4 linked regions of the Pelodiscus sinensis genome follow. The protein of the gene in region 4 interacts with the protein of the main gene of each other region in a pairwise test. Links are inferred from orthologs where the notes say so. Each region holds a gene or a part of one and is shown on either strand. Other genes may lie near its edges. The genes, in order: STK25, NANOS2, IMP3 and CCNDBP1.

Region 1 (7,585 bases), on a different chromosome or scaffold from region 4:
CCCACGTGCAGCCCGGAGTCAGCGGGATTTCCTGCTGGCCCCGGGCTGCACGCGGAGTTCCGCATTTCTCCTTTGCAATGGACAAGCGCCCTAGAGGGGCCCAGCGGGGGCTCTTGTACATTTCAAAGGCGGAATGCCCAAGTGCCTATCGAGTAGTCGATGGAAATTCCTGACTGCCTTCCACACCCACACTCCCAGCAGCACACTAGCTGGGCCTGGCGTGCCTGGCCTAGGCCAGAAGCCAAGAGCTGTATTTTCAGAGGCAGCCCAGCTCTTAAGTCTACTGCATGACCTGTGCTGGTGTGAAGGCCCGGGCTCTTGCAAAGGCTGTTGTTTCTGCAGGCTTATAAAACCACGACAGGTGTGGAGAATGTTATTGTTCCCATAACACAAGACCTAGAGGGTCACCAAATGAAATGAATAGGCAGCAGGTTTAAAACAAACAAAAGGAAGAATTGCTTCACACAAGGCCCCGTCAACCTGTGGAACTCCTCTCCAGAGGAAGTTGTGAAGGCCAGGACTATGCCACCCAGGACAGAAAAGGATTGTGGGGTTTCATTGCATGGAAGGTGAGGCACACACCCAGCAGGGCGCTGATGTCAGTCATGTGTTCCAGACTCTCCAGAGGAAAAGAAACGAGGCCAGTGACTACCTGGGGTAGGAGATGCAGAAGGGCTTGTCCAGATCAGGCCCAGGGACTGCAAAAGGAGGTGTTGGAACAAAGCCAGCAGAACCGGCCTGGGCCAGGCAGGAGACACATGCTGAGCAGGACTGCTCTCTGCAGGGGACACTCTTCAGGGCTGGCAGAACATGCCATGAGCCACCCTGTTCCGCAGACACTCCACATCCTGCAGCCCCTGGACAGTTCTGAATGGGGAGTAAGCCGTTGCGTGCAATACACAAATGGGTGTGTGTGTGGGCTCTGGGCCCGGTGCCCTCCATCCCTGGGACAAGAGAAACAGATGCTGGGCAGTTCTATTTCCGGGATCCTGCACGCACTGGCTTGACGCTGTTTTCTCTCCACTTACTTCGGGGCAGACGGCCTGGACTATTGTCTCTTCATACAGTACTTTGCTGTTCTGTCCAGCTGGGTGTGAGTGCATGGGGAAGCAAGGAACTTCAGAGCAAAGCTTTTAATAAAATCTGTGATTATGACTATGCAAGTGAGTATCTCAGGGAAATTGGTAAAATGCAGTAATGTTGCACCCATATTCTCCTTCCCGTGTTCCACTTTAAGCTGAAGATGGGTGTGTGTGTGTGTGTGCAGAAAAGGCATCTCATATTTCCCTTGCTCTCCTGACCTAGCCTTAGGTATCAGAGGCACACTTTCTGCTTTCCTTTGCTGATTTGGGAGTTCCTGGAATTCTTTCTTAGATTTGCTTTGATGACTAATTATTAACCCCTCTCTGTGTGCAATGCTGCACAATCCTCATATGCTGGTTGGCTGTCATTTAGAAAAGTCAGATTGTCAACAAAATGTAAATCTTCCAGGCTACTCTGCTGTATCTTTCCACACCTGTTCTCAGAATGGCAGCGGCAAACAGGAGAGCTAAAAGGTGCTGTGGACTGGGAACAGATAACACTCCCCAGCAGGGGCGTTACCTAGGCATGTGCATGTGCAGAAGGGAATCTTTTGATCGCTTCTAGCTTCCTGCAGAACTGGAGCCCAGCTGTACCTGCCTTTCACTCCCGAGTGACTAGCTTATTTTCAAGGCTGCCTTCGCAAGGAAAAGGGACAGAAGCTTATTTTATTATTGTTATGGTTTTAATTAAAGAAAGCTTTGGTTGACTGGTGTGCTTCTTACTCCCTGGGATCAGGAGACCAGCTGGAGGAAATACAAGAGATAGAGTGATCAGTTTCCTGGGGCCATATGGCTGCTCCATAGGGTTCACTCCAACTTGCACTGAAACTGGAGGCCAAGCTATCTGGGGAGCTGACAGATGTGCTCATGGTCTGAAGCTTCTTAGTTGCACAAGAGAATTCACTTAAATTCAAAGATGATCTGCCTCTCTACAAGGGCTTGAGCAGGGCTACTCAACTTTGGAAGCCTCAGGAGCCACAATGATACTCTCAGCACATGCGAAGGGCTGCAGCTTAAGTGTGGTTGCATATACGTGCAAACATATATGCAAATATATGCAAATAGCTTCTTTCACACTGATGGGCATGAATACAACGTTTAAGGCAAGGCTACACAACACACAGGCCCCATTTAAGTCAGTTCTGCTGACATTAATACAATGCAATATTTACCCGAGTTCCACCCATCTGACAGCACTTTGAACAAGCACCGACTGTCCAGGAATTGAACTACTAAAATGCATATTAAGAGAAGACCATTATATTGACTTGCCATTGTGGAGCGTGTTCCCAGTGGAGGCCACCTTCACAGGATCCCACGTCAGCCGTGTGTTGAACCCCATGTAAACCCAAACCGCACCACGGGCCGCAAACAAACAGGCCGTGGACCACATGCAGCCCATGGGCCATGTGTTGAGTAGCCCTGGACTTGAGTGTTTGCTGCCAATGCCACATACATGAAAACAGTTGTCTTTGAAACTGAAAGTCTATTTATAAATATATATTAAGTATATATTTTAGGTGTTAACTCAAGAGTAGCGAAGTGATAGGATGGGCAAGGGACACTAACCCTCACCTGACACTTCCTAGCTCAGCAAGACTTTTTTTACAGTCCTTCGCCATTTTTGCTACAACTTGTAGTAAGAGGGGCAGTGTATAGTCAATGAATTGAGGATCAGCCAAGTGCAAAAAGCCATGCATGTAGGAAACAGTGAGCAGAGTGCACATGTGCCAGGGAACCACGGCTTGCTAACTGGGAAAGATTTCAAGTCAAGTGTTAAAAGTGACCTGTAAAGCAGTTTTTTCAATTGGCTTGCAGCCTAGGATGTATAAAGGACTGATCTTTTACTATCATGAGTCTTTATTCTTACCAATACCATATTTTACATTCATGATATCTCCTGGCTTTGTTGGAGGATGTCTAAACAATGAGAACTCTCAGTAAACAGCACCTGCCTTGGCTGGTGAGATTGTTAAAGATTTAACAAAGGCTTCCTTTATTCAAAATGTGAGTTAGTCATTACAGTTATTTGCCTTTTTGAAGCATCCAAGTGTTTTAAAACAGTCTGATTAAAAGTATTTTTTCCCTCCCCAGGGAAAATAACTTTCTTTCTTCTCATCATTTACTCTAGCTCTGTCATCATCATCTTTCACCCTTGACCAGACCTGAGCTCCTAATGTACAAGCCAGCTGAGGAAAGAACACCCCACCCACTTACAGCTCTGAAAAGATTTTAAGCTTTCCTTGTTCATTACAACAAAGCAATAAAAAGGCTCAAGCTCACCTTCAAAAGTCAAGTTCTCTCCCCAAAGGGAGTGCCATGAGTGAGTGTGAAATGACGCAGGGACCCAGCAGAGGTCAAGGTGAGCAGATAAGCAGCAGCACAGGCATCTGCAATTGTTTGAGGTGCCAGATTTGAGTTCAGGAAGGCAAAGGGCAGCCAGCTCTGAGTAACTGCCCTGGGCGCTAGTAGGTAGAGCAGCAGGTTGGGTGACATTCCCTTCTGCCCTGCCTGCAGCACTCTTCTCCTTCTCTTGCTTTGGGGCAACAGGCTTCCCTCTCACCCTGCGGGGATCCTCTCATCGTACCCCCCCCCATGGTATTGTTGCTCTCAGTGGCTCGGCCAGGAGAGGGGCACGAGGCAGGAGCAGAGACTCTACAGCCGGGGGGGGGGGGGTTCGTCTGCAGAGGGGAGAAGCCGGGGGCCCAGCCCAGTTTCTGTAAGGGAGAGGTCTTGGCATGGGGGAGGGGGAGAATCGCCCTTCCTCCCCGCCAGGCCCCCAGGGAGGGGCCCCTGGAGGGGCCGAGGGGGCTCCCAGGGAGGGGCCCCTGGAGGGGCTGAGGGGGCTCCCAGGGAGGGGCCCCTGGAGGGGCCGAGGGGGTCCCCAGGGAGGGGCCGAGGGGGCTCCCAGGGAGGGGCCCCTGGAGGGGCTGAGGGGGTCCCCAGGGAGGGGCCGAGGGGGTTCCCAGGGAGGGGCCCCTGGAGGGGCCGAGGGGGTCCCCAGGGAGGGGCCGAGGGGAGGGCCCCTAGAGGACGTTAGGGGGAACCCCAGGGCCGAGGACGCGGCGGGGGTCGCTGCCCAAGGACCACGCCAGGGGGAGCGAGGCGGCTGGGGGCTGTAGTCCTCTCTTGCCCCGAGGCCGCTGCGCTCCGGCCGAGCAGCGGGGCGAGCGAACTACATTTCCCAGAAGGCTCCGCTCTTCCCGCCCCGAGCCGCCTCGCCCGTTGCCTGCCGGGTACTGTAGTCCGCAGCCTGACTCCACCCTGCCGGGCGGCCGAGCGGGAACTACCCGTCCCAGGAGGCTGTGCGGCCCGCCCGCCTCTGCGCGCTGTTGTTGCGTCTCGCTCCCCCACCGCTGCTGAGTTCGGTGTCCGGGGCGGCCCCCTAGAAACCGGCGGCGCGCGCAGCGAGAGCGAACCATGGAGCCGCGGCGCGGGGGGCGCTGAGCGCGGCCTCCCCCTCCCAGGTGGCGCTGCGGGCAGGGGCGGGGGGGGCAATGGGGGAGGGATATAAGGGAGGCGGGGGGGAGGGGTGAGGGAGACGCGGGGGGGAGGGGCGGGGAGGGGTGGGGTGGGGTGAGGAAGACGCGGGGGGAGGAGGGGCGGGGAGGGGTGGGGTGAGGGAGACGCGGGGGGGGAGGGGCGGAGGGGGGAGGGGTGAGGGAGACGCGGGGGGGGGAGGGGTGAGGTGAGGGGGACGCGGGGGGGGAGGGGTGGGGTAAGGGAGACGCGGGGGAGGAGGGGTGGGGTAAGGGAGACGCGAGGGGAGGAGGGGCGGCGAGGGGTGGGGTGAGGGAGACACGGGGGGAGGAGGGGCGGCGGGGGGTGGGGTGAGGGAGACGCGGGGGGAGGAGGGGCGGGGAGGGGTGGGGTGAGGGAGACGCGGGGGGAGGAGGGGCGGCGGGGGGTGGGGTAAGGGAGACGCGGGGAGGAGGGGCGGCGGGGGGTGGGGTGAGGGAGACGCGGGGGGAGGAGGGGCGGCGAGGGGTGGGGTGAGGGAGACGCGGGGGGAGGAGGGGCGGGGAGGGGTGGGGTGAGGGAGACGCGGGGGGAGGAGGGGCGGGGAGGGGTGGGGTGAGGGAGACGCGGGGGGAGGAGGGGCGGGGAGGGGTGGGGTGAGGGAGACGCGGGGGGAGGAGGGGCGGGGAGGGGTGGGGTGAGGGAGACGCGGGGGGAGGAGGGGCGGGGAGGGGTGGGGTGAGGGAGACGCGGGGGGAGGAGGGGCGGGGAGGGGTGGGGTGAGGGAGACGCGGGGGGAGGAGGGGCGGCGAGGGGTGGGGTGAGGGAGACGCGGGGGGAAGAGGGGCGGGGAGGGGTGGGGTGAGGGAGACGCGGGGGGAGGAGGGGCGGGGAGGGGTGGGGTGAGGGAGACGCGGGGGGAGGAGGGGCGGGGAGGGGTGGGGTGAGGGAGACGCGGGGGGAGGAGGGGCGGCGAGGGGTGGGGTGAGGGAGACGCGGGGGGAAGAGGGGCGGGGAGGGGTGGGGTGAGGGAGACACGGGGGGAGGAGGGGCGGGGAGGGGTGGGGTGAGGGAGACGCGGGGGGAGGAGGGGTGGCGAGGGGTGGGGTGAGGGAGACGCGGGGGGACGAGGGGCGGCGGGGGGTGGGGTGAGGGAGACGCGGGGGGGACGAGGGGCTAGGCGAGGGGTGGGGTAAGGGAGACGCGGGAGGGGTGGGGTAAGGGAGACGCGGGGGGAGGAGGGGCGGCGGGGGGTGGGGTGAGGGAGACGCGGGGGGGATGAGGGGCTAGGCGAGGGGTGGGGTAAGGGAGACACGGGGGAAGGAGGGGCGGGGAGTGGTGGGGTGAGGGAGACGCGGGGGGAGGAGGGGCGGCGAGGGGTGGGGTGAGGGAGACGCGGGGGAGGAGGGGCGGGGAGTGGTGGGGTGAGGGAGACGCGGGGGGAGGAGGGGTGGCGAGGGGTGGGGTGAGGGAGACGCGGGGGGACGAGGGGCGGCGGGGGGTGGGGTGAGGGAGACGCGGGGGGGACGAGGGGCTAGGCGAGGGGTGGGGTAAGGGAGACACGGGGGGAGGAGGGGCGGGGAGTGGTGGGGTGAGGGAGACGCGGGGGGAGGAGGGGTGGCGAGGGGTGGGGTGAGGGAGACGCGGGGGGACGAGGGGCGGCGGGGGGTGGGGTGAGGGAGACGCGGGGGGGACGAGGGGCTAGGCGAGGGGTGGGGTAAGGGAGACGCGGGAGGGGTGGGGTAAGGGAGACGCGGGGGGGAGGAGGGGCGGGGGGGGTGGGGTGAGGGAGACGCGGGGGGAGGAGGGGCGGGGAGGGGTGGGGTGAGGGAGACGCGGGGGGAGGAGGGGTGGCGAGGGGTGGGGTGAGGGAGACGCGGGGGGAGGAGGGGTGGCGAGGGGTGGGGTGAGGGAGACGCGGGGGGGACGAGGGGCTAGGCGAGGGGTGGGGTGAGGGAGACGCGGGGGGGACGAGGGGCTAGGCGAGGGGTGGGGTAAGGGAGACGCGGGGGGGAGGAGGGGCGGCGAGGGGTGGGGTAAGGGAGACGCGGGGGGAGTGAGAAGGGGGGCAGGCGGAGCAGTGGGGAGGGGTTCGGGGCAGGCTGGGCGCTGGAGGCAGGGGGTGAGTGGGGGCAGGCTGGGCCCTAGGGAGCTGAGCCCAGGCTGGGCAGGCTGTGCAGCCTAGGGGTGGAAGCGGTAGGGTTGTTCAGGGCTCTGACACTGTTCCTGCCTGTCTGAAGCAAGTCTCCCCTGTCTCGGAAGGCCCAGGGTCGTTGGGCTGTTGCCAGAAGGGGTTGTGCTCTTGGGAATGGTTGGGGGGCTCACCATGCCGTGGCTAGAGGAGGAGCAAGCTAGACTCTAGGAGCTCTGAGTATAGCAGCTGTATTCTGGCCCATCACAGCTGTTTGGTGGCTGAGAGAGCACTGCTCATCCCTGTGCTACAGGACCCCGGCCGCCTGGTGTCAAGGAAGTGGGTGTCTTAGCAGCCTCGGGCCATGGCTCATCTGAGGGATTTTGCCAATCAGGTAGGTGAGAAGGAATAGTTTTTGAAACATGATACAAATCCTCAAAGCAAAAGTCTTTGTTTTAAGAACTCTGTCGTCATTTACCAAGGTGGGGATGTCCCACCTATGTTCTCAGCTGTGCTGTTCTGATCCAAAGGGTTGCTGTCCTAGTCCCTGAAAGAATCAGGCTTTGACACTGCCATGGAGGCAGGAAGCAAGAGACTGGCGTGGATACAGTAGCTCCCTAAATATAACTGTGACCTCCTTAGGGAAGTGGGGAGTGTTTTTCTCTCTCAGCATTTGAGGGGAAGTGGGATAAGAAATGGGACAGACATGCAAAGTCTGAGTTACAGAATGACCGGCCCCTAGTATAATGGACTGGATGTACATCAGTAATAGCCACAGTGAGCATCCTGTGCCAAGTAATTTTGGAGATGGATGAGAGGCTGGTCTGCTTGGCCCTAAATCAGGTGCAGGCAAATACCAGCCCACAGGCCGGATCCAGTCCGTCAGGGTTAGCTCCTGGTCAGCCCCCACTGC
Region 2 (7,309 bases), on a different chromosome or scaffold from region 4:
CTGGCCAATTTTAGGATTTAACCCTCACAGCTCACACCTTTTAATACCGACGGCGCCACGTTTCAACCTGCGCAAGCTTCATTGCGTTTCATTTCCTTGTCTTTCCTCAGGCGTTGTCTACCCCAAAACAAACTCACATTATTCCACGGTCTCTCCCTGATCTGCCCTTCTTCTAGTATAATAATGCCTGCCTCTCTCATTTCCACGCCATGCATCCATGTGGGTTTTTGCCCACGAAAGCTTATGCCAGGTAGGACCAACCTGAGCCTGAGAAGGAGCCACAGTTTACCAATGTACATCGCCGAAGAGCTGCAATAATTTGTCAGTTGTCCCCATCAATTTGTCAGTCTCCTCTGCTTCCATCCCCACCCCTCCTGCCCTCGGCAAGCAGCTGTTTCATGGCACTCAGGAGGCCCGGTGGGGGAGGGAAGGAATGAGGACAGTACACTTGGAGGAGGAGGTGGAGCCAGAAGTTAAGCACTGGAAAGTTGGCACCTGTAGCTGCAGCCCCAGAGTCGGCGCCTGAATAAGGAGCCACATAATAACTTCAGAAGAGCCACAGGTAGGCCACCCCTGGCTTATGCCCAAATCATAGAATCAGAGAACCATAGAGCTGGAAGAGACCTCAGAAGGTCATCAAGTCCAGCCCCCTGCTCTAGGCAGGACCAATCCAACTAAATCAACCCAGCCAGGGCTTTGTCAAGCCGAGACTTAAACATCTCTAGGGATGGAGACTCCACCACTTCCCTAGGGAACCCATTCCAGTGCTTCACCACCCTCCTAGGCTATGTCTAGACTGCAAGCCTCTTTCGAAAGAGAGCGTCTAGACTGCAGCGGAACTTTCGAAAAAGCAAGCCGCTTTTTCGAAAGAAAGCACCCAGTGAGTCTGGATGCTCTCTTTCTAAAAAGCCTGTTTGCTTTCAAGAACGCCTTTTTTCGAAAGAGCACTTTCGAAAGAAGGCGTTCTTCCTCGTGGAATGAGGTTTACCGCCGTCGAAAGAAAAGCCGCGTTCTTTCGATTTAATTTCGAAAGAACGCGGCTGCAGTCTAGACGCAGGTGAAGTTTTTTCGAAAAAAGGCTACTTTTTTCGAAAAAAACCCGAGTCTGGACACAGCCCTAGTGAAATAGTTTTTCCTAATATCCAACCTGAACCTCTCCCACCACAACTTGAGCCCATTGCTCCTTGTTCTGCCATCCGTCACTACTGAGAACAGCCTCTCTCCATCCTCTTGGGAACCTCCCTTCAGGAAGTTGAAGGCTGCTATCAAATCCCCCCTCGCTCTTCGCTTCTGCAGACTAAACAGACCCAACTCCCTCAGCCTCTCCTCATAAGTCATATGCTCCAGCCCCCTAATCATTTTGGTTGCCCTCCGCTGGACCCTCTCCAACGCGTCCACGTCCTTTTTGTAGTGGGGAGCCCAGAACTGGACACAATACTCCAGATGCGGCCTCACCAAAGCCGAATAAAGGGGAATGATGACATCTCTGGATCTGCTGGCAATGCTCCTCTTAATGCAACCTAATATGCCATTAGCCTTTTTGGCTACAAGGGCGCACTGTTGACTCATATCTAGCTTCTCATCCACTGTAACCCCCAGGTCCTGTTAGTAAACCTGTTAGTCTGTAAGGTGCCACAGGAGTCTTTGGAGTTCTTCGGGAAGGGTTCTAGCAGAAAAATAATTTATTTGTGGCAATTCTGGGATGACTCGGCTGTTCCAAACGCTCCAGAGGGGATGCCGAGTGAGTCTGTCACTGGAAAAACTTAAAAAAACAACGAATTGTCTTGCAGCACCTCAGGGTGTGTCTAGACTACATGCCTCCATCGACAGAGGCATGTAGATTAGCCAGATCGGCAGAGGGAAATGAAGCCGCGATTAAAATAATCGCGGCTTCATTTAAATTTAAATGGCTGCCCCGCTCTGCCGATCAGCTGTTTGTCGGCAGATCGGGGCAGTCTGGACGCGACGCGCCGACAAAGAAGCCTTTCTTGATCGGCACAGGTAAACCTGGTTTCACGAGGCATACCTGTGCCGATCAAGAAAGGCTTCTTTGTCGGCGCGTCGCGTCCAGACTGCCCCGATCTGCCGACAAACAGCTGATCGGCAGAGCGGGGCAGCCATTTAAATTTAAATGAAGCCGCGATTATTTTAATCGCGGCTTCATTTCCCTCTGCCGATCTGGCTAATCTACATGTCTCCGTCGACGGAGGCATGTAGTTTAGACGTACCCTCAAAGACTAACAAAACATGTCGATGGTACCATGAGCTTTCGGAGACTATACCCCTGTGTGCACACTCTATTCCGAACTAAACTGAGAAACAGGGAGGCGGCAAACCTGGCAGCGGATAGAAAACTACTCAAGAGCAGTAAGCCCACTGCAGACTGCAAAGAGTTACAAAGGGTTCTCACCAGATTGTGGGACTGGACAACCACGTAGCTGATGCACTTCCGTGTTGATCCATGCAAAGTAAAGCACATTGGAAAACAGGCTCCCAACTCTCCATTCGCACTGGGGGGGTGTAAAGTAACTGTTGCCACTGGAGACAGAGATTTTGGATGGAGTCATTGCGATCGGTCCATTCCGTGTGGAGCGGCCGGCGAAAACGCAAACAGAATGTTGGAAATCGTTTTAGAGGGACAGAGCAACAGACAAAAATACCAGACTGCCTTGCTGCACCCATGAGACGCCCGCATCTTGAACATGACACCCAGGTGTGGCTGCCTCATCTCGAAAAACATAGACTGGAACTGGGAAACGTACAGAAAAGGGCAAGAAAAATGATGAGGGGTATGGAACAGCACCCGTAAGAGTAGGCCTGCACAACATGCGGTCCGCAGGGGCTCACTGTGCGGCCTGTGACGACTACAGGCGGCGTGGTCCTATCCAGTCCGCCATCCGGGTGGAGGAGCGGAGCGCTGCCGGGGAGGGGGAAGTGCGGCGATTTTCACCGCCGGGCTGCCTGCGTGCAGCTCCGGCGCGAGGAGGCGGGGCGCGAGCCAGAGGGCAGGATGCCAGCAGACGCCAGGATGCTGGTGTGATGTGGCATCGTGATGTCACAGCCAGTGATCGCCGGATTCAAAAAGGCTCCGGCAGCCCCGCAAACTGGAAGGCAGAAGCCAAGTAGGGGAGGGGAGGGGGGCAGGTCAGGAAAAAGGGGAAGGCACCAAGGGTCAGGGTGCAGGACAGACAAATGCCAGGGGGCCAAGTGGAGACAATGAGGAAAAGGACAGGAGGGGAGGTATCAGTGGGACGGGGGACAGGGTGATGCTGGGAGAGGAGAGGGGAAGGGCATTGGGAGCCGTATGTTGTGCAAGCCTAATTTAATTGAAAAAAATCTTAATAAAGTATCACCCCCCCCAAAAAAAAACCCTACCCTTGTGGCCCGTGGCTGTTTTCTTTGCAGTAATATGGCCCTCGCCGCTTTCCAAGTTGTGCAGGCCTGCATGAGAGGAAAGATTAACAAGAGCGGGACTTTCCGGCTAGAAGACACGTCCAAAGGGGGAGAGGATAGAGGCCTAAAATCCTAGCTGATGTGGCGAAAGTAAAGAAAGAAGTGTTATTTACTCCTTCTCCCAACACAAGCACTAAGGGGGCCCCATGAAGTTAAAAGACAGCAGGTTGAAAACAAACAAGAAGAAATATTGCTTCCCCCAACGCACAAGCAGAGGATATTGGGAAGGCGAAGACTACAACATGGTTCAAAAAAGAGCTAGATATATTCATGGAGGTTCGGTGCTTCAATGGCTATTGGCTGAGCGTGGCAGAGTTGATGTTCCTAGCCTCTGTTTGCCAAAAGTTGGGAATTGGGGACACACGATGGATCATTTGAGGATTCCCTGTCTTGTTCATTCCCTCTGGGGCTCCTGGCATTGGCCATTGCTAGAAGACCGGATACGTAGAATGACCCAGTATTGGCCATTCTTATGACTTTCTTCCAGATTATTTACTCTGCCTTTGAGTTATGCTGGAATACCTATGGGTATGTCTACATTGGCATGATTTTCCGGAAATGCTTTTAACGGCAAAGTGTTCCGTTAAAAGCATTTCCGGAAAAGCGCGTCTAGATTGGCAGGACGCTTTTCCGGAAAAGCTCTTTTTGCGGAAAAGCATCCATGGCCAATCTAGACGCACTTTTCCGCAAAAAAGCCCCGATCGTTATTTTCGTGATCGGGGCTTTTTTGCAGAAAACACTACTGTGTTGTCTACACCGGCCCTCTTCCGGAACAGTTTTCCGGAAAAAGACTTTTGCCCGAACGGGAGCAGTATAGTTTTTCCGGAAAAGCACTGATGATTTTACATTAGATCGTCAGTGCTTTTCCGGAAATTCAAGCGGCCAGTGTAGACAGCTGGCAAGTTTTTCCGGAAAAGCGGCTGATTTTCCGGAATAACTTGCCAGTGTAGATACAGCCATGGTGAAGTAACTCTTTGCTATAGATATGCTGGTCAGTTTCTCTTACTTTTGTCAATTACTTTTTTAATGGCCCTTCTGTTAACATCTCTCTCAATCTTTGCAACTGAGTAGGGCAATTTTTAGCAGATAAGCGCACGTGGGTTGGCTTTTTTTGGAGGGCGGGGGGGAACAGAAGAGTGTTTATGGGCTGGAGCAGCTAAAGCTCCCTTGAAACATTTTAAAATGTCTTTAAAAACGCTTTTAACTAATGTTGTTCTGACTCGGCTTGAAGGTTAAATGCGGGGGAGCTACAACGAAGTTGCATTTGCGACTTCTGTGGATGTGTTTTGTGACACCTCCGTAAGCCAGGGTGGCTCAGCGCGACCATCCCCATCACATGGACCCTGTATGGGTATAAAATATGTATCCACTTCTGCCCCACGAACATGGTCTGCAGCTAACTAGTGGCATTTTGCAGGCCTGTAGGATAAGTCTGTTACAACCCTTGCTAAGAGCAGCATAGCTTTTAGCTCATGCAATAGGAGGCTCCCACAGTAAGGTCCCAGGGTCCTAGGTTTGATCCTGACCTCTGACAGCAATGCACAAGGACAGTGGTCATCAACCGGCAGAAGACCAGGGACCAAATCCAGAGCACAAGATCCTTTTGAATGGCCCCAAAACTCTTTTAGTATTATCATTATTCTCCGTATTCTTTTCTCTGGAGTCTGGATCTTGACTAGGCCTCCACCATGAAGTCTTGAGCTTGGCCAAAAGTCATGGCCTGCCCCTGCGCTAGGACACGAGTTTCGGGCGCAGAACGGAGGGGAACATGGACTTTGGATTTCTAGAAGAGGGGAGAGTCTGATTACCACTAGACTTCCGACCGCTGAGCCTTGAGAATTAGCCCGTCAAACTCCGGCGCGGAGGGTTTTGGTGTCTGGCCCTTTAAATCCCAGACTCCACCTCTTTGCACTGAATGGGCACAGTGCTGCCTGCTGGCACATGCTGCCTACTGCAGGCCAAGCCTATTAAAGGAGCTAGGGTGGAGGGGCTGTTTGCAGAGGAGGGGGCTGCTCCGAGGAGCACCATGCTTCCCAGGCCACCTTGTCCGCCAGCCACGCTCGCACATGACTTCAACATGTGGCGGGACTACCTGAACCTGTCCAAGGTGCTTGGGGAAATCATTGAGGAACACAGAAGGGGATCCAGGCGTCTGCTCCCCTGCGAGACCCCAGACTTCTGCCTCCCTGTGGATCCTCTTCACATGACCCTGGAGGACACTTTGGTCCTGAAACCATCGGGTTGGAACAGGAGCAACAGTAGCAGCGGTTCAGAGGAGCAGAATAGGGTGGGCACCCCTCCGACGCCCGGCAGACTCATATGCAACTTCTGCCGGCACAACGGGGAGTCCAAGAAGGTCTACTCCTCCCACCCGCTGAAGCAAGCCGACGGCACCGTGCTGTGTCCCATACTGCGCAACTACGTCTGCCCGGTGTGCGGGGCCACGGGCGACAGGGCCCATACGCTGAAATACTGCCCGCAGAATCAAGAGAAGCAGTCCCTCTACTGCAAACGCGGGCGCAACTCGGCCGGCTTCGTCGTGCGCCGGTGAACGGCAGGGGAAGACACCTTCCCCGCCCTGGGACAAAAACACGGGACCTTTCCCCAGGGAGGCGCCCGAAGGTGCTTGGAACGGAAATTTTCGGTTTCTGCTGTTTGTTTCGGAGTTTGCATTTCAAGTCCAGGGTGGAACTAACGTGTCCAGAGTCACCCTCATTTCTTTAAATCCCCACGGCAGCCGGGGGGTTGTATCCTGGCCCCGCGGCGAGTTCGGCTGGGAGGGAACCAGCACGGAAGGACCAGCCGTCGGGATGGACGGCTGCGAGACATTTGCCTCCGCTACATGTGTTTTGTTTTCACCTCCTTTGCCCAAGCCAATGGGTATTTATTTGTTTCCACTCCGCAGGAATCGTTTGCAGGCGTTTGCTGCGAGTTTTATTTGAAAATCATGGCAGAAAAGGACTGAATGCGAAAACGGGCCTCTCCGTAGCGTTTTACCGCGTTTTGTAGTTGCAACTACCCATGGTGGGGGGGAGGCGTGGTTCTCTCTCTGTTACATTTGAGGGTTTGTTTAGCAGAGTTTTTTTTTTTAAATGCAACACTCCCATAGCCCCTTTCTCTTCTGTTTAATAAACAGTATTGTTGTTCTGGCAGCTGGTTGTGTGGGCTTGGTCGGCTTTTCCCCAGCGTTGCTCTGGAACAGCTCCCCTTTTCGGGCAGGCAAGAGAAGTTGCTCCCTTTGTCTCCCCCACTTGCAAGAGGAAGGAGCACCGGGCCGGGATTGAACCTGTGATGCAAGGGATGGAAGCCGCGTGGCTCTAGCACATGAGCCAAAAGCTGCCTGGAAGAGACTCTAGAGCAGGCCTCGTGCTCCCTTTCTCACTGGTCTCGGTGCCTCTGGGTTACACGCGGCCAGACACGCACGGCGCCCTGGAGGTAGAGTGCACCCTGCCATGTGCGGGCCACCGGGCCTCCTGCTTCCAGTGGGCACTGGCAACCCCACCCCCCACAGGAAACGGCAGGCAGGCAGGTCCAAGGGGCCAGCTGAGGGCGCGCTGTAGGAGGCAGCCGGGGTCCTGGTGGGGCCGTGCCTCCCTGCTGTCCCCTCTCGCTGGACGCCGGGCAGCCCGTGTGCAGTCCTGGCGGAGGCTGCTGCCGGCAGCCCATGGGGATCAGAGGCAGGCTGTGGGGGGGGGGGGGAGGGTAGTTCTCACGCCACCCGCTGCCCAGTAGCAGTGCCCCCACACAGCCGGCTCACAGCTCCCTTGCAGCAAACAGGAGCAGCAGGGCCGGGACCCATCCACCAGGCAGATAAAGGAACCCAGACACTCCCACACCCCTCTCTACCTCCTGCCTT
Region 3 (6,400 bases), on a different chromosome or scaffold from region 4:
AGAACCAGGGGAAGCTTCCATTTAATAAGTATCTCATAATATGATGAAGGCTGCCATGTTGGACTCATGGCTTATGTAAAAATAAAGGAGTGAGAGGACCTTTTGGCTTTCATACCTGAGTTGTGTGACCAGTCATCAGATCCGTGCAGCCAACAGAGTAAGGCCCCTTCCCCCGAGGAATTCTATACATCTTTGCAGAGTTCTTGCTCTCCATATCCTTCTGTGCATTAACACACAAACCTGGGGGTAAAACACAGAACAGGTGACTACCACCTCCTTTGCATACCTGCTGAAGAGGACATCACAGCATTACAGATTCAGGACTTTGAGATTCAGGGCTGAGCTGACAGTCAAGAGTGATGAGAAGCAGGCAGAGGATTCATAGATTTTAAAGCCAGAAAGGAGCATTATGATCTCCTGTGTATCTCAAGCCACAGAATTTCACCTGGGAGAGTGTTGTGTGGAGGAGCCACAGATAGCTGGGAGGGAGGAGAATGATGAAGGGAGGAGTAAGAGAGCCAGGGGCAGCGATTATTAGAGTGACACAAGGACTAGGAAGCTGGCAGAAGCCTGGGATTGCTGTGGAGATGAGTGGTGATAGTAGACCTTTGATGAGGCAGGATTAGCAGTTCCTGAAGTAGCCTGCATTGAGGAGTTTGACTCATCCTCCCCTCTTCTAGCATTTGCTACCTCCCCATGTTTTGCTTGTCTACATTAGTGTTCTCCACCCTAGCCTGTCCTTTCAGCTCCTACTTTATTCTAACCCCCAAGGTGCTCGCAGTCTTTCAACCCAACACCCATCCTGTGTCTCAAGACTGACCTCCTTTTCCCAGCTAGCTTCCCCTTGACCCCTTCCTCTTTGCTCCTCCCTACTCCTCCCGGCTCCCTTGCCAACAAGAACACCTCCTCCTTCCAAGTGCTCCATGTTGGTTTGCATCCTGTCACAGGCGAGCTGCAAGAGCAAGGGGAGAGGCCGTTTGGAGGTCTGAAATTCCTCCACTATAGCTGTCCCTGTTGGCCAGGAGGAGAAGTTCCTGCTGAAATTCCTGCAAACCTGCTTGATATGTGACATGGCAGCAGGACTGTGGATCAGTATTAACAGGGCTTCTGAATATGTCTCCTGTGATCTCAGACACTCTGCAGGCCAGCCTTCAGCAAAGCCCAAAGGAAAAAGCCTGGTGGTGACCTAACTTATTCTACCTCCAGATTAATCCTTCTAAGGTGCATAACAATTAGTTGGCGCAGAGTGCACCGGTTGATAGAGTTGGTAATGTTTATAACGCACACTGGGATCGACTAGAAAAAATGCTATCCCTTCCTTTACCGCAGGGGTGGGCAATAATTTTTGACAGGGGACCACTCCAAGATTTTGGAAAGTGGTCGAGGGCCGCACACTTCCATGATATTAATGGAGGAGGTAGAGGGTCTGGGATGGAGGTTGGGTGCAGAAGGGAGCTTGGGGTAAGGTATTGGGGTGCAGGAGGGAGTTTGGGTGAAGGAGGCAGTTGTGACCTAGGGCAGAGGACTGGGGTGCAGGGGTTTGGTTTGTGATCTAGGGGAGGGGACTGGGGTGCAGGAGTTTGGGTAGTGACCTAGGGTAGGAGGGGATTGTGATCTGGGAAAGGGGATTGGGATGCCAGATCTGGGAGGGGATATGGATGCAGGAGAGGGTCAGAGGGTTTGGATATGTTGAGTGGGGGGGCAGAGGGTTGGGGAAGAGAGGGTCTGGGGTGTGAGAGGCAGGTTCTGGCCAGGAGACTTATCAGCCAGTAGATCAACCAGCCTGCCTGCCCTGCACCTGCACCTACACATGCTTGTGTGAATAACTGAGCTGAAGGAGAGGGGGGAGGCATGGTGCTTTGTGTGCTGCCCATTATTCAAACAGGCAGCTCCCACTGGCCAGTGTATGGCCAGAAGCCAGCCAATGGGATTGTGCTGGGGGCGAGAGCAGTGTCTGAAGCCTTCCCCCATTCAGTTTTTAAAGAGAAACGGACCTACCACCACTTTTGGGCTGTGGCGCAAGCTAGGGAGCCTGCCTGGAGCTCCACACTGTGTCCATGGGCCAGATCAGGTGGCTTAGTGGACCAGATCCAGCCTGTGGGCTGTACATAGACCAGGCCTGCACGAAGAGGTCTCAATTCTGCAACTGCTTCTTTAGGACACTTCATGTGTGGGAGTTAATTAATGGGATACATAATAAACTGACAGCCTGCACATTTACTAAAAGCTTTCAGGTAACAGGTGCAAAATCACATTCTCCCCCCCCCCCCTTTTTTTTATTAGCCTCCTACAAATAAATAATAACTGCGCCACTGAAGGATACATTTCTTACCTGCTAATTGAATTTGTCCCAATTTCCCTATGCTAGTCCAGAGCAACCAGTAACGGAAATGGAAAAGTAAATGAAATTTTGAAGACTGCATCTTCTATTCATGCAACTTCTCAGTGTTTCAGCTTCATGACCTTTGCCAAAGCAAATAATGTAACACTATATAAACAACAAGTATTCAAAAGCAACAGATATTTAGTTTTGTTTTTAAGGGTGACATCTGGATTAGCAAATGATTCAAAGCCTCCAGTCAGTCTCCTTGACCATTCAAACCTTGCTAAGACTGCCAAGAGAATCAACTAGGAAGCTGGTTTTAGTGATGCGAATTCTTGCTTCACTACAACCAGAACTGAGAGCATCAACTCTTTTCACATAGCACACCCACCAAAAAGCCATCAGATCATAGTTGCACTGATGGTCATTGCAGTCCATTCTGCGTTGCGCCTCCTGTATTCTGGGATATAGTGGGACCCAGTCCAGTCTCCAGCATAATTTAGAGCATTTCCTTGGCATATTTTACATTAGTTGCCAGGGCCCCCTATTGATAGGTAAGGCAGAATTCATCCCTATATATATATATTGCACCCTCCCCACACACACTCTCTCTCCAGCTGAAGGAAAAGGAGGGGGGGGACATTGATTGTTTGGTCCTGGGGCCCAGAATTGCTTTTGTCAGCAGGCCTAGGAATAGTTAAGCTGACCTAAGTCCGCATGTAGACAAGCACTAGGTCAACAGAAGAATTCTTGGAGAGGTGGATTATCTGCCCAATGGGTGAAACCCTCCTGATGATATAGGTAGGGTCCACACTGAAATGCTACAGCAGTGCATCTGTGCCACTATGGTAAGAAGAGCCCTCAGTCCTCATCTGAAAAATGGGAATACTACTGTTTCCCTAATTCACAGCAGTGTGTGAGACACTTCATGATTTGTAAAGTTGCATAAGAACCTTGTATGAAAAGCATGACAGAAGCACAAAGTATGTTCTCTCAGACATTTTTGAGCCTTTAAACTTGTTATACTTGAGTCAGTAAAGAGGCCGGTTGAGTCACCTAAGACAGGCATACCCCTAAACACAAAAGGGTAGCAAAAAGTATCCCAGGATAGCTGATTACAATAGTCCAGAAGTTATTTGTGCCACATATTCGGAAAACTGAAACCCAGCACTAGAGAAGATACTTGTATTTGGAATCTCTCATGTTGGTTAAAAAATGCTTTTTTCTTCAATTCTGTCAGATGTTTCTGGACACTGTAGTAGCCAAACAGTGGGTCTGGTAGCTTGCTATGTCTCACCGCCCCTCCCCCGAGTTGCTTTAACTTTGCTTTCATGGTGCAAGGCTGCCTTGTATTTGCCTTTAATACACAACTGTTTAGTGGGTGTATACACAACTTTAATACACAACTGTTTAGTGGGTGTATACACAACTTTAATACACAACTGTTTAGTGGGTGTATACACAACTTTAATACACAACTGTTTAGTGGGTGTATACACAACTTTAATACACAACTTGGGAGGCCACATCAGCACTGGGCTGGTGGCTGTAAAGCAGGAGTGGGGATCCTTTTTTGAGTGGGGAGCCACTGACGCACAGAAAAAACAGTCAGGGGCTGCAGACAAAAACCCTTCACTGGCATAGCCCCCAGCTAAGGAGAAAGACACTCCCCACATTCCCCCTGCACACCAGAGCTAGGGGGACCCAGCCTGGCACATTTTGAGTACTGGAGCCCCATGGTGGAGCAGCAAGGGGGGGGCTGGAGCACCAGCACAGGCTCCCCAGTTCAGGGGCGATCCTGAGCCTCGGGGGCCACGCCCATGCAAGCGCCCTGGCGCAGCACCACTCTGTGCAGAGGCTCGCGACCAGCCAGCCAGCTTGGCGCATGCGCACCGAAACCACCACCCGCCTGGCAGTCCCTCTCTATCCCGTCATGCGTCACTCCCCAAGCCGCCGCTCTTCTTTCCCCCTATTGAAAACGTGACCGGCGGCAGGCTCCGCTTCTTTCTGGCCAATGAGAGAGAAGGGCAGCAAGCCCCGCCCCCCCTTGCTCGGAGAGCCGGAAGTTCCGGTTCCCCCCCCCCCCACTCGTGGTTGCTAAGGGCCGCTCGCGCTCGTAGCCTCCCCGGCGGCAGGATGGTGCGGAAGCTGAAGTTCCACGAGCAGAAGCTGCTCAAGCGGCTGGACCTGGTGGGCTGGGAGGCGGCCTCGGGGAACCTGGCCGAGCTGCGCGTGCTGCGGCGCTACCGCCTGCAGCGGCGCGAGGACTACACCCGCTACAACCAGCTGAGCCGCGCCGTGCGCGAGCTGGCGCGCCGCCTCCGCGACCTGGGCGAGGCCGACGCCGCTTTCCGGGCCCGCTGCACCGCCGCGCTGCTGGCGAAGCTCCACGGGCTGGGGCTGGTGAGCTCCAAGCGCTCGCTGGAGCAGTGCGACCGGGTCTCGGCCAGCTCCTTCTGCCGCCGCCGCCTGCCCAGCCTGCTGCTCCGCCTGCGCATGGCCCAGAGCCTGCGCGACGCCGTCACCTTCATCGAGCAGGGCCACGTGCGGGTGGGGCCCGAGGTGGTGACCGACCCCGCCTGCCTGGTGACCCGGGCCATGGAGGATTTCATCACCTGGACCGACTCCTCCCGCATCCGCCAGCACGTGCTGAACTACAACCAGGAGCGGGATGACTTCGACCTGGCCTGCTAGCGGGGCAGGGACCCCTGGGGGTTGCTGGCTAATGCACCCCACCATCCTGGGAAGAGACTCGGGGCCCAGATGATGTGCCTCTCCATGCCACGGAGAGCAGTGCTACCCAGGGGCCAGCTCGTCTGTGTTCTGCCTGTCCTTGCCAAGAGATGCCTGGCCTGGTTGTCTTAAGCCTGCTCCCCTCTCTCTCTCTCTGCAAAGGGACTCAGTACACTGTTGTGTCACCAAGTCTGGTACCATGCACCTCCTCTGTGAAGGAACTCCTTGCCCAGATGGACCAAGCCTGGTACCACCAAGATAGGCCCAGCCTGGTACCACCCACCTTCTCTGCAAGGGGACTTGTGGCTCAATTATGCCATCGTGCCTGCTGCCTGTCCCCTCCCATTAAAGGGATTTCTGACCCTGATGTCATTACTACGATGAGCTATTAAGCAGATGTCATAAGTCACTGTCCCTAAGCCTCTGCCTCTGATGTGATGATATACCCTCCTGCTGCAAAGGCCATTAGCAAAATAGACTGAATGCTGTTATGTCATCACCACCAAAGGGCCATCTAGAAGGGACTGATGAACAAATGGCTCTCCTGGCCAGATCTGTTGTTCAAATGTGATGTTAGAAGAGATACAGGGTTTTATAGTTTGTCTTGTCAAAGGACTTCTTAACCAGCTTCCCTTTTGCTTCTCATAATAGTCCTTCTTTCAAAAATAAATCAATGGGGATAATTCTGTTTTCAGAACTGATCTTGGCTAATTATGCTAACGTTGTAATCTGCAGCATTATCTACACCAGTCATCATAATTTATATGTAATAAAACTGAAATTCAGATTGCTTCTTAGAAAATCTATTTAATTTCTTGAAAGCAAGAACTGAGCTCTTTCTTGGTAATATTTTTCCCCTGTCCTACTGTAGTAACATTGAATGTGTTCTGGTTTCACTGCTGAACTGGTTTCACTACTTAACCAACAATTAAATCTAATTGAATTTTAAATGGTTCATTATTAATTTACCTGTGGATTTGCAGGCACCTTTCCTAGGTATGTTCTGTCTTCGTAACAATCACAAATGCATTTTCTGTTGTCTTTATTGTTAGTGTTCTGTTGCATAGTATCTATTACATCTTGCAGATGTATTGTTTATGCTACTTATGTGCTAAATACTTTGCCCCAAGGAGCAAAGAAAGCTAAATCCCTTAAAGGCCGGATCTACTGGTATAGCTGTGAGTTAACACTACGGGGGGGGGGGGGGGGGGGAGCCCTAGGCAGATATACCAGCATAAGCACTTGTTTAGCTTATTTTGTTTGGGAAACTGGTAGCAACTGGTCTCTTGACTAGGAAGTAGAAATATACCAGCAGCTCCTTTCTAGTGTGGCTAAGGCCTTAGA
Region 4 (7,264 bases):
TTATGCATGTGGGATACTGCAAGTGTTTTTCATCCTGGCTAGTAGGTATCTAGTAAATAAACGCTGTGCATGGCTCTGTCATCACCCATTTCTTCCACCTGCCCTTAAACTGACTAGTGTGAATGAATGAGCTGTGATTGCTCATTTGTAGCCTGGGAACTCCTTTGGGTAACCTAAAGAATAAAAGGTAGGCATGGGTCTCTAATTAAAATATAAGAAATCAAATCCTCTGCATGCTTCTGGATTTCTGGAATAGTCAGTGATTTATCAGTGGAACACGGGCCAACAAGCTCCCAAACTCTCCCTTACTAGGTATGTTATGAAGGGTCTGACTGACGGATATTTGCCTTAAGTGTACAATCACCAGGGTTCCTCACCATGAATCCAAGTAATTTACAGAGAACTGCTAAGTGGATCATGAAAGGCATGAAAGGGGCTTGCAGAGTTGGCAAATTAGAATGTTTTTTTTTTGGTAACGTTTCCCCCACTTATCTTTTCAGGGGGTCTTATCGAACCTTTTCTTTGTGGAGCATGACTTCCTGGAACAGGAGATTCAGGAAGGGAAAAGCCACCAGAATCCACATGAGGCCCAGTTTGTGGTGGAGTTGTGCAAATACTTCTTGTGCCAGGATTACTTGCCCTCTCAAATCACCATCCTCACCACCTACACTGGGCAGCTCTTCTGTCTGCGCAAACTCATGCCTGCCAAGATCTTTGCAGGTGTAAAGGTTCATGTGGTGGATAAGTATCAAGGTGAGGAGAATGACATTATCTTGCTGTCACTTGTGCGCAGTAACAAGGAAGAGAGAGCTGGGTTCCTGCAGATTTCAAACCGGATCTGCGTAGCATTATCCAGAGCTAAGAAAGGGCTCTACTGTGTTGGGAATATGAGAATGCTTGCCAAGGTGCCTCTGTGGAGCAAGATCATTCACATCTTGCGGGAGAAGGGTCATATTGGTCGCTCACTCATGCTGTGCTGTCAGAACCATCCTGACACTAGGACACTGGTGTGCAAGGGAGCAGACTTCTGCAGAGTTCCTGAAGGGGGCTGTAGTCGCCCCTGTGAATTCAGGCTGAGTTGTGGACATGTCTGCACTCGAGCATGTCACCCCTATGACTTAGAGCACAAAGAGTTTCAGTGCATGAAGCCCTGTCAAAAGGTGCTCTGCGGAGATGGCCATCGTTGCCCCCAGTTGTGCTTTGAGAACTGTGGACAATGCATAGTGGAAGTGCAGAAAACGATCCCAAAGTGTGGCCACCAGCAGATGGTCCCTTGTTCCACTCCTGTGAACAAGTTTTGCTGTCAAGAGCCTTGTCAGAAATATCTGAAATGTGGGCACAAATGCAGCATGTCCTGTGGGCAGGAATGCAGTGTGCAGTGTCTCGAAATGGTTAAGGTCACACTGAAATGTGGCCACGACCAGGAGGTGAAGTGCTGGATCACAGAGGAGATGAAACATGGGATGCCTGTGAAATGCAAAACCAAATGCTCTGTCTCACTGGCTTGTGGCCATGCATGCCCGGGTTCCTGCTATACCTGCTTTGAAGGGCGATTTCATGAGCACTGTCAGAGCCCTTGTAAGCGCATCCTGATCTGCTCCCACCAATGTCAGCAGCCTTGCACCAGAGAATGCCCTCCGTGCCAGCAAACCTGTCAGAACCACTGTATCCACAGTCGTTGCAAAAAGAAATGTGGAAAGATGTGCATCCCATGTATGGAGCCATGTGAGTGGCGCTGTCAGCACTATCAGTGTACCAAGCTTTGCTCTGAACCGTGCAACAGGCCCCGTTGCGATGAACCATGCACCAAGCTACTGCACTGTGGTCATCCATGCATTGGGTTGTGTGGGGAACCTTGCCCAAAAAAGTGCCGTGTTTGTCACCATGATGAAATCACCCAGATCTTTTTTGGCTATGAAGATGAGACAGATGCTCGCTTTGTGGAGCTGGAGGACTGTGGCCACATCTTTGAGGCCCAAGGCCTTGACCATTACATGGATGATGAAGATGAAACTGTCATCAAGCTGAAGGTCTGCCCCAGCTGTCAGACAGCCATTAGGAAGAACCTGAGGTATGGCACCATAGTAAAAAGGCGGCTGGAGGAAATAGAGAGAGTGAAGGAGAGAATCCAAGGCCCTGTAAGTGAAATTGAAACTAGCAGGCACAGACTACAGGATGTGCTGGAAGGGAAGGCTGTTCTGCGAAGGAATCTGCCCACTAAATACCTTCTGTTGGAAGAGAAGTTGATACACCCTGATCTCTCCACAAAGAGTATTGGACTCCTTGAGAACCTGATTGGCTTCTATGGGCGCTTGGGGGAGCTGACAAGCTCCCTGAACAAGGTTGATGTGAATGAGAAGGAAAGACTGAGGATGCGACTGGCTGAAATTCAGGAGTGGTTGGACAAGCCCCGACTAAGCTTCACGGGCCAGGAGCTCGTTGACCTTCAGAGTGAGATTCAGAGGCTTACGTATCTTGTGAGTCTCCTGGCCAGATGCAAAACAGCAACTGCAAAGATGAATACTTCTATCTCGAGAGAAATTGGTGCTCTGCGGCAGATCCTAGAGGGAACAAAGAAGTTCACCCAAGAGGATGAAAAGGTGGTGAAGAGGAAAATGGAAGAACTAAAGACAGCTCTTCCAGAGTCTGGGTTGGGAATCTCGGAGGAGGAGCGAGTGCAGATTGTTAGTGCCTTGGGTTATCCACGAGGTCACTGGTTCAAGTGCCCCAATGGCCACATTTACGTGATTGGTGATTGTGGTGGGGCAATGGAGAAGAGCAAGTGCCCAGAGTGTAAGGAAGTTATTGGAGGTGCAAACCACACTCTGGAACACAGCAACCGTTTAGCTCCTGAAATGGATGGGGCAACTCATGCGGCCTGGTCAGAAACTGCAAATAACATGCTCAACTTTGAGGAACTCCGCAGGATGATATAGAAGAGCTACATTTGGCTCAGTAGTACACCTTTTAACCCCATGAATGCTCTTTCTTCCCCACTGCCAAGCTGCATAGCACGTGGAGTAGCCAGCGGGTGCTCACTGGCTCTGTTTGACAAATTGGATTTCTTGTGATTAACACTTGCTGTGTTTGTTGCTAGAACTAGTCCTATTTCCTACTCGCACTTTATATGTCGAATCAAGCAACTGAATGAAATAGATGTAACAAATTCATCTGCTTTAGCCTGAAGCATGCGCGGGGCCTAATGTAGTTCCAGGGCTGGCTGGCACCAGTCGGTGGCATCAGCCCCTGCAGTAGCTCTGGCTATTGCTCATTGCACTGAGTGTTTAACCCTCAATCTTTTATAGCTCAATAAATTTTATTCATAGTCATTTAAATGCAATATTTCCTGGGAGCAGCCTCGCCCCCCCCCGGAGAGACCGGGACACCCCGCTACAGGTCCGCTCCTCCCCACCGGCCCACTATTGGCGCGGCCGGAAGTCGCTCTGGTGCCCCAAGGAAGGGCTCGGGCACGACCGGAAGTAGCTGTGGGGTTTCAGTGACGGGGGAGCGCGTGACCGGAAGAAGTTCTGGTGCCCCACTAAGCGAGGTCCGGTTCGGCTGCAAGTAGCTCAGGTGACCCGTTGAATCGGATCCGGGCGCTGCTGGAAGCAGCTGTGGAGTCTCACTGAGGGCTGGGAATTGGCCGGAAGTAGCTGGGGGGGGGGGGGCTCAGGGATGGGCTAGGGTCAGTAACCCTGGTGCCTCAAGTGCCGGAAGTTATTCTAGTGACTCACTCGGTGGGGGCAGGGCGCAGCCGGAAGTAGCTGGGGGGGGGCTCAGGGATGGGTTAGGGTCAGTAACCCTGGTGCCTCAAGTGCCGGAAGTTATTCTAGTGACTCACTCGGTGGGGGCAGGGCGCAGCCGGAAGTAGCTGGGGGGGGGGGTCTCAGGGATGGGTTAGGGTCAGTAACCCTGGTGCCTCAAGTGCCGGAAGTTATTCTAGTGACTCACTCGGTGGGGGCAGGGCGCAGCCGGAAGTAGCTGGGGGGGGTCTCAGGGACCTAGACCAGCATCCTGTCTGCCACAGTGGCCAAGGCCGGGTGCCCCAAAATAGCTCCGGCGTCTGACTAGGAGAGGCCCGGGCGGGGCCGGAAGTAGCTTGGGGGCAGGAGGGGTCTGAAGACGGGGCAGGGCGCGACCAGAAGTGACCCTGGTGCCTCACTGAATGGGGTCCGGCCTCGGCCGGAAGTAGCTCGGGGTGGGGTCTCACTGAGTAGACTTCCGGCGAGGCCGGAAGTAGTCCTGGTGCTCTGACGCTGGAGTCCGGACTCGAGCCCCTTTGAGCGGCGCCCGGCTCATTGCTCGGCCGTGTTTTGCTGACGGTCCCCACGCCCCGTGTGCGTGCGCAGAAAGCGCAGAGACCTTGGGGCTGAGCGGATGGAGCCGGGGGGTGCGGAGCTCGCGCGGGCGCTGGAGCCGCTGAGGCAGCTCGGCGAGGTGCTGCGCGCGGCCCTGGCCCGGCTCCGAGGTGCGGCCGCGGGGCGGGGCGGGGGGGCGGGGGACGTTGATCCGGGGGAGGCGGCGGTGCCGGGGGGGCGGGCGGGGGGGGATCTGGGGGAGGCGGCGGTGCCCCGGGGGGCGGGCGGGGGGAGATCCGGGGGAGGCGGCGGTGCCGGGGGGGCGGGCGGTGGGGGATCCGGGGGAGGCGGCGGTGCCCCGGGGGGCGGGCGGGGGGAGATCCGGGGGAGGCGGCGGTGCCGGGGGGGCGGGCGGGGGGGATCCGGGGGAGGCGGCGGTGCCGGGGGGGCGGGCGGGAGGGGGATCCGGGGGAGGCGGCGGTGCCGGGGGGGCGGGCGGGAGGGGGATCCGGGGGAGGTGGCGGTGCCCCGGGGGGCGGGAGGGGGGGGATCCGGGGGAGGCGGCGGTGCCGGGGGGGCGGGCGGGGGGGATCCGGGGGAGGCGGCGGTGCCCCGGGGGGCGGGCGGGGGGGGATCCGGGGGAGGCGGCGGTGCCCCGGGGGGCGGGCGGGGGGGATCCGGGGGAGGCGGCGGTGCCCCGGGGGGCGGGCGGGGGGGATCCGGGGGAGGCGGCGGTGCCCCGGGGGGCGGGCGGGGGGGGATCCGGGGGAGGCGGCGGTGCCCCGGGGGGCGGGCGGGGGGGGATCCGGGGGAGGCGGCGGTGCCGGGGGGGCGGGCGGGGGGGGATCCGGGGGAGGCGGCGGTGCCGGGGGGGCGGGCGGGGGGGGATCCGGGGGAGGCGGCGGTGCCCCGGGGGGCGGGCGGGGGGGATCCGGGGGAGGCGGCGGTGCCCCGGGGGGCGGGCGGGAGGGGGATCCGGGGGAGGCGGCGGTGCCGGGGGGGCGGGCGGGGGGGGATCCGGGGGAGGCGGCGGTGCCCGGGGGGGCGGGCGGGGGGGATCCGGGGGAGGCGGCGGTGCCGGGGGGGGGCGGGCGGGGGTGGATCCGGGGGAGGCGGCGGTGCCGGGGGGGGGCGGGCGGAGGGGATCCGGGGGAGGCGGCGGTGCCCCGGGGGGCGGGCGGGCGGAGGGGATCCGGGGGAGGCGGCGGTGCCCCGGGGGGCGGGCGGGCGGAGGGGATCCGGGGGAGGCGGCGGTGCCCCGGGGGGCGGGCGGGCGGAGGGGATCCGGGGGAGGCGGCGGTGCCCCGGGGGGCGGGCGGGCGGAGGGGATCCGGGGGAGGCGGCGGTGCCCCAGGGGGCGGGCGGGCGGAGGGGATCCGGGGGAGGCGGAGGTGCCCCGGGGGGCGGGCGGGGGGGGATCCGGGGGAGGCGGCGGTGGCCCGGGGGGCGGGCGGGGAGGCGGCCCTTTCTGAGCGCCGCGCTGGTGTCTTTGCAGATGGGGAGTCGCGGGAGAGCAGTGAGGCCTTCGAGCAGCAGCGCTTCTGGGACACGCTGGGTAAGGGCCTGGTGTGGCGGGCGGGCCCAGGACTCCCAGCCCACGGGCCCCGGGCTGCAGTGGAGGAGCCCAGCTGAAGAGCGGTGCGCTAAAGGGATCAATGTGGAAAAGAAACCGCCCAGGAGCTTCTGCTGGTCCGCCAGGGACCGCACCGGGGACCTCATGTTGTGCTGGCACTTGGTCCGCAAGCGCAAACGATTTCCCTCAGAACAGCTTCCAAAGGTTTTACGAGCCCTGCCCTCAGTATCGGATTGCACAATTAAAAAACATCATGGGGGTCTTAAGATGTTCACTCTTGGAGAAATTTACAAGTTGAATTTATGGCAGTGCTTTTGGGGTTTGCTAAATTCAGTCCCGTAATTGGGGAAGCCACTTCATTGCTTTTTCAGTTAATGGATATGAACCTGTCAGAGGATGATCATAGAGCTGGAAGAGACCTCAGGAGGTCATCAAGTCCAGCCCCGTGCCCAAAGCAGGACCAATCCCAACTAAATCAACCCAAAGCAGGAGGTGCTGGACTAAGTAGCTAAATTAAAAAGCAACATATTACAAAGCATCATACATCCAAGAGCTGAGAACAAATTTACCTGGATGTAGCTGAACTATTACTAAAACCAATAAAAATTGTATCCCTTTTTAAGAGGTGCTATGGTGATCCTGTGAGTTGCAGATCAGTGAGCCTTATTTCAGAATTTGGTTAAGAGGCTGAAACTATAATTAAAAAACATGGAACAATTTCCATACAGAAAAATAATGAGAATCAGTTACATCTTTGAAAACCTTTTGCCAAAATTCATGAAGCGAGAGGGAAAGTGCTGTCATGGATTGAACACTAGCTAAGAGACCAAGGAGAGGAGCAATAAATGACCAGTTTACCATATGGCATGTCTTGAGCAAAGAGTGCCCTGTGGGTCTTTATACTGAGAGTGGTAGGTGCTTTCTTTTTGTTAATGATCTGAAAATAGAAATGACCAGTGAAGTGGCAAATTTTATAGATGAGGCAAAATCAGAGAAGTCTTTGAGGGACTTCATAGGGATCTAACTAAGGTAAGTGAATGGGTAACGCTGAGTGATCTGTAGTATGGTAACAAGACAAAGTTAGTGATAGGCAAGGTTATGCATCTTGTAAGAACAATAAATCAGGTTTCAAATGAACTGCGGTTAGCCAGGAAAAAGACGTGCACCTTGTTTTGGACAGCGAAGCATAGCTTTGTACGCCATGTCTCACTGGGCAGAGCGTTCTGATGCATGGGACGGCATAGCAAATAGGACACTGAACATAGTGGTGCCCCCTCAGCAGCAGCAGCACCGTGTCTGTGCTAGGCACCCTGTCGCTAAAGAGTATAGGAGCAACAGAGGGAGTTCAGAGACGGGAGGCAAGACTGGCCCATAGAGAGTGCGCTATTTGAAG

What was found.
Region 1: the proteins of CCNDBP1 (region 4) and STK25 interact in binary tests that used the Homo sapiens proteins (3 or more experiments, as listed by UniProt). The two-hybrid records come from large-scale screens. The link is inferred for Pelodiscus sinensis from reciprocal best matches to the Homo sapiens genes CCNDBP1 and STK25.
Region 2: the proteins of CCNDBP1 (region 4) and NANOS2 interact in binary tests that used the Homo sapiens proteins (3 or more experiments, as listed by UniProt). The two-hybrid records come from large-scale screens. The link is inferred for Pelodiscus sinensis from reciprocal best matches to the Homo sapiens genes CCNDBP1 and NANOS2.
Region 3: the proteins of CCNDBP1 (region 4) and IMP3 interact in binary tests that used the Homo sapiens proteins (3 or more experiments, as listed by UniProt). The two-hybrid records come from large-scale screens. The link is inferred for Pelodiscus sinensis from reciprocal best matches to the Homo sapiens genes CCNDBP1 and IMP3.

Annotation. Positions count from the first base shown.
Region 1 is NC_134720.1:284,445-292,029, reverse strand, and holds the start of STK25 (serine/threonine-protein kinase 25), read left to right. Parts: upstream 1-4,390; 5' UTR 4,391-4,549; intron 4,550-6,942; 5' UTR 6,943-7,036; coding exon 7,037-7,066; intron 7,067-7,585. UniProt on the Homo sapiens protein: Oxidant stress-activated serine/threonine kinase that may play a role in the response to environmental stress.
Region 2 is NW_027465849.1:6,570,727-6,578,035, forward strand, and holds NANOS2 (nanos homolog 2), read left to right. Parts: upstream 1-4,260; 5' UTR 4,261-5,368; coding exon 5,369-6,004; 3' UTR 6,005-6,561; downstream 6,562-7,309. UniProt on the Homo sapiens protein: Plays a key role in the sexual differentiation of germ cells by promoting the male fate but suppressing the female fate. Represses the female fate pathways by suppressing meiosis, which in turn results in the promotion of the male fate.
Region 3 is NC_134713.1:12,403,220-12,409,619, forward strand, and holds IMP3 (U3 small nucleolar ribonucleoprotein IMP3), read left to right. Parts: upstream 1-4,394; 5' UTR 4,395-4,459; coding exon 4,460-5,017; 3' UTR 5,018-5,846; downstream 5,847-6,400. Other genes in the region: PLA2G7 (platelet-activating factor acetylhydrolase), read right to left, coding at 116-240, 2,333-2,423. UniProt on the Homo sapiens protein: Component of the 60-80S U3 small nucleolar ribonucleoprotein (U3 snoRNP). Required for the early cleavages during pre-18S ribosomal RNA processing. Part of the small subunit (SSU) processome, first precursor of the small eukaryotic ribosomal subunit.
Region 4 is NW_027465987.1:395,373-402,636, reverse strand, and holds the start of CCNDBP1 (cyclin-D1-binding protein 1), read left to right. Parts: upstream 1-3,996; 5' UTR 3,997-4,377; coding exon 4,378-4,468; intron 4,469-5,793; coding exon 5,794-5,853; intron 5,854-7,264. Other genes in the region: ZNFX1 (NFX1-type zinc finger-containing protein 1), read left to right, coding at 501-2,936. UniProt on the Homo sapiens protein: May negatively regulate cell cycle progression. May act at least in part via inhibition of the cyclin-D1/CDK4 complex, thereby preventing phosphorylation of RB1 and blocking E2F-dependent transcription.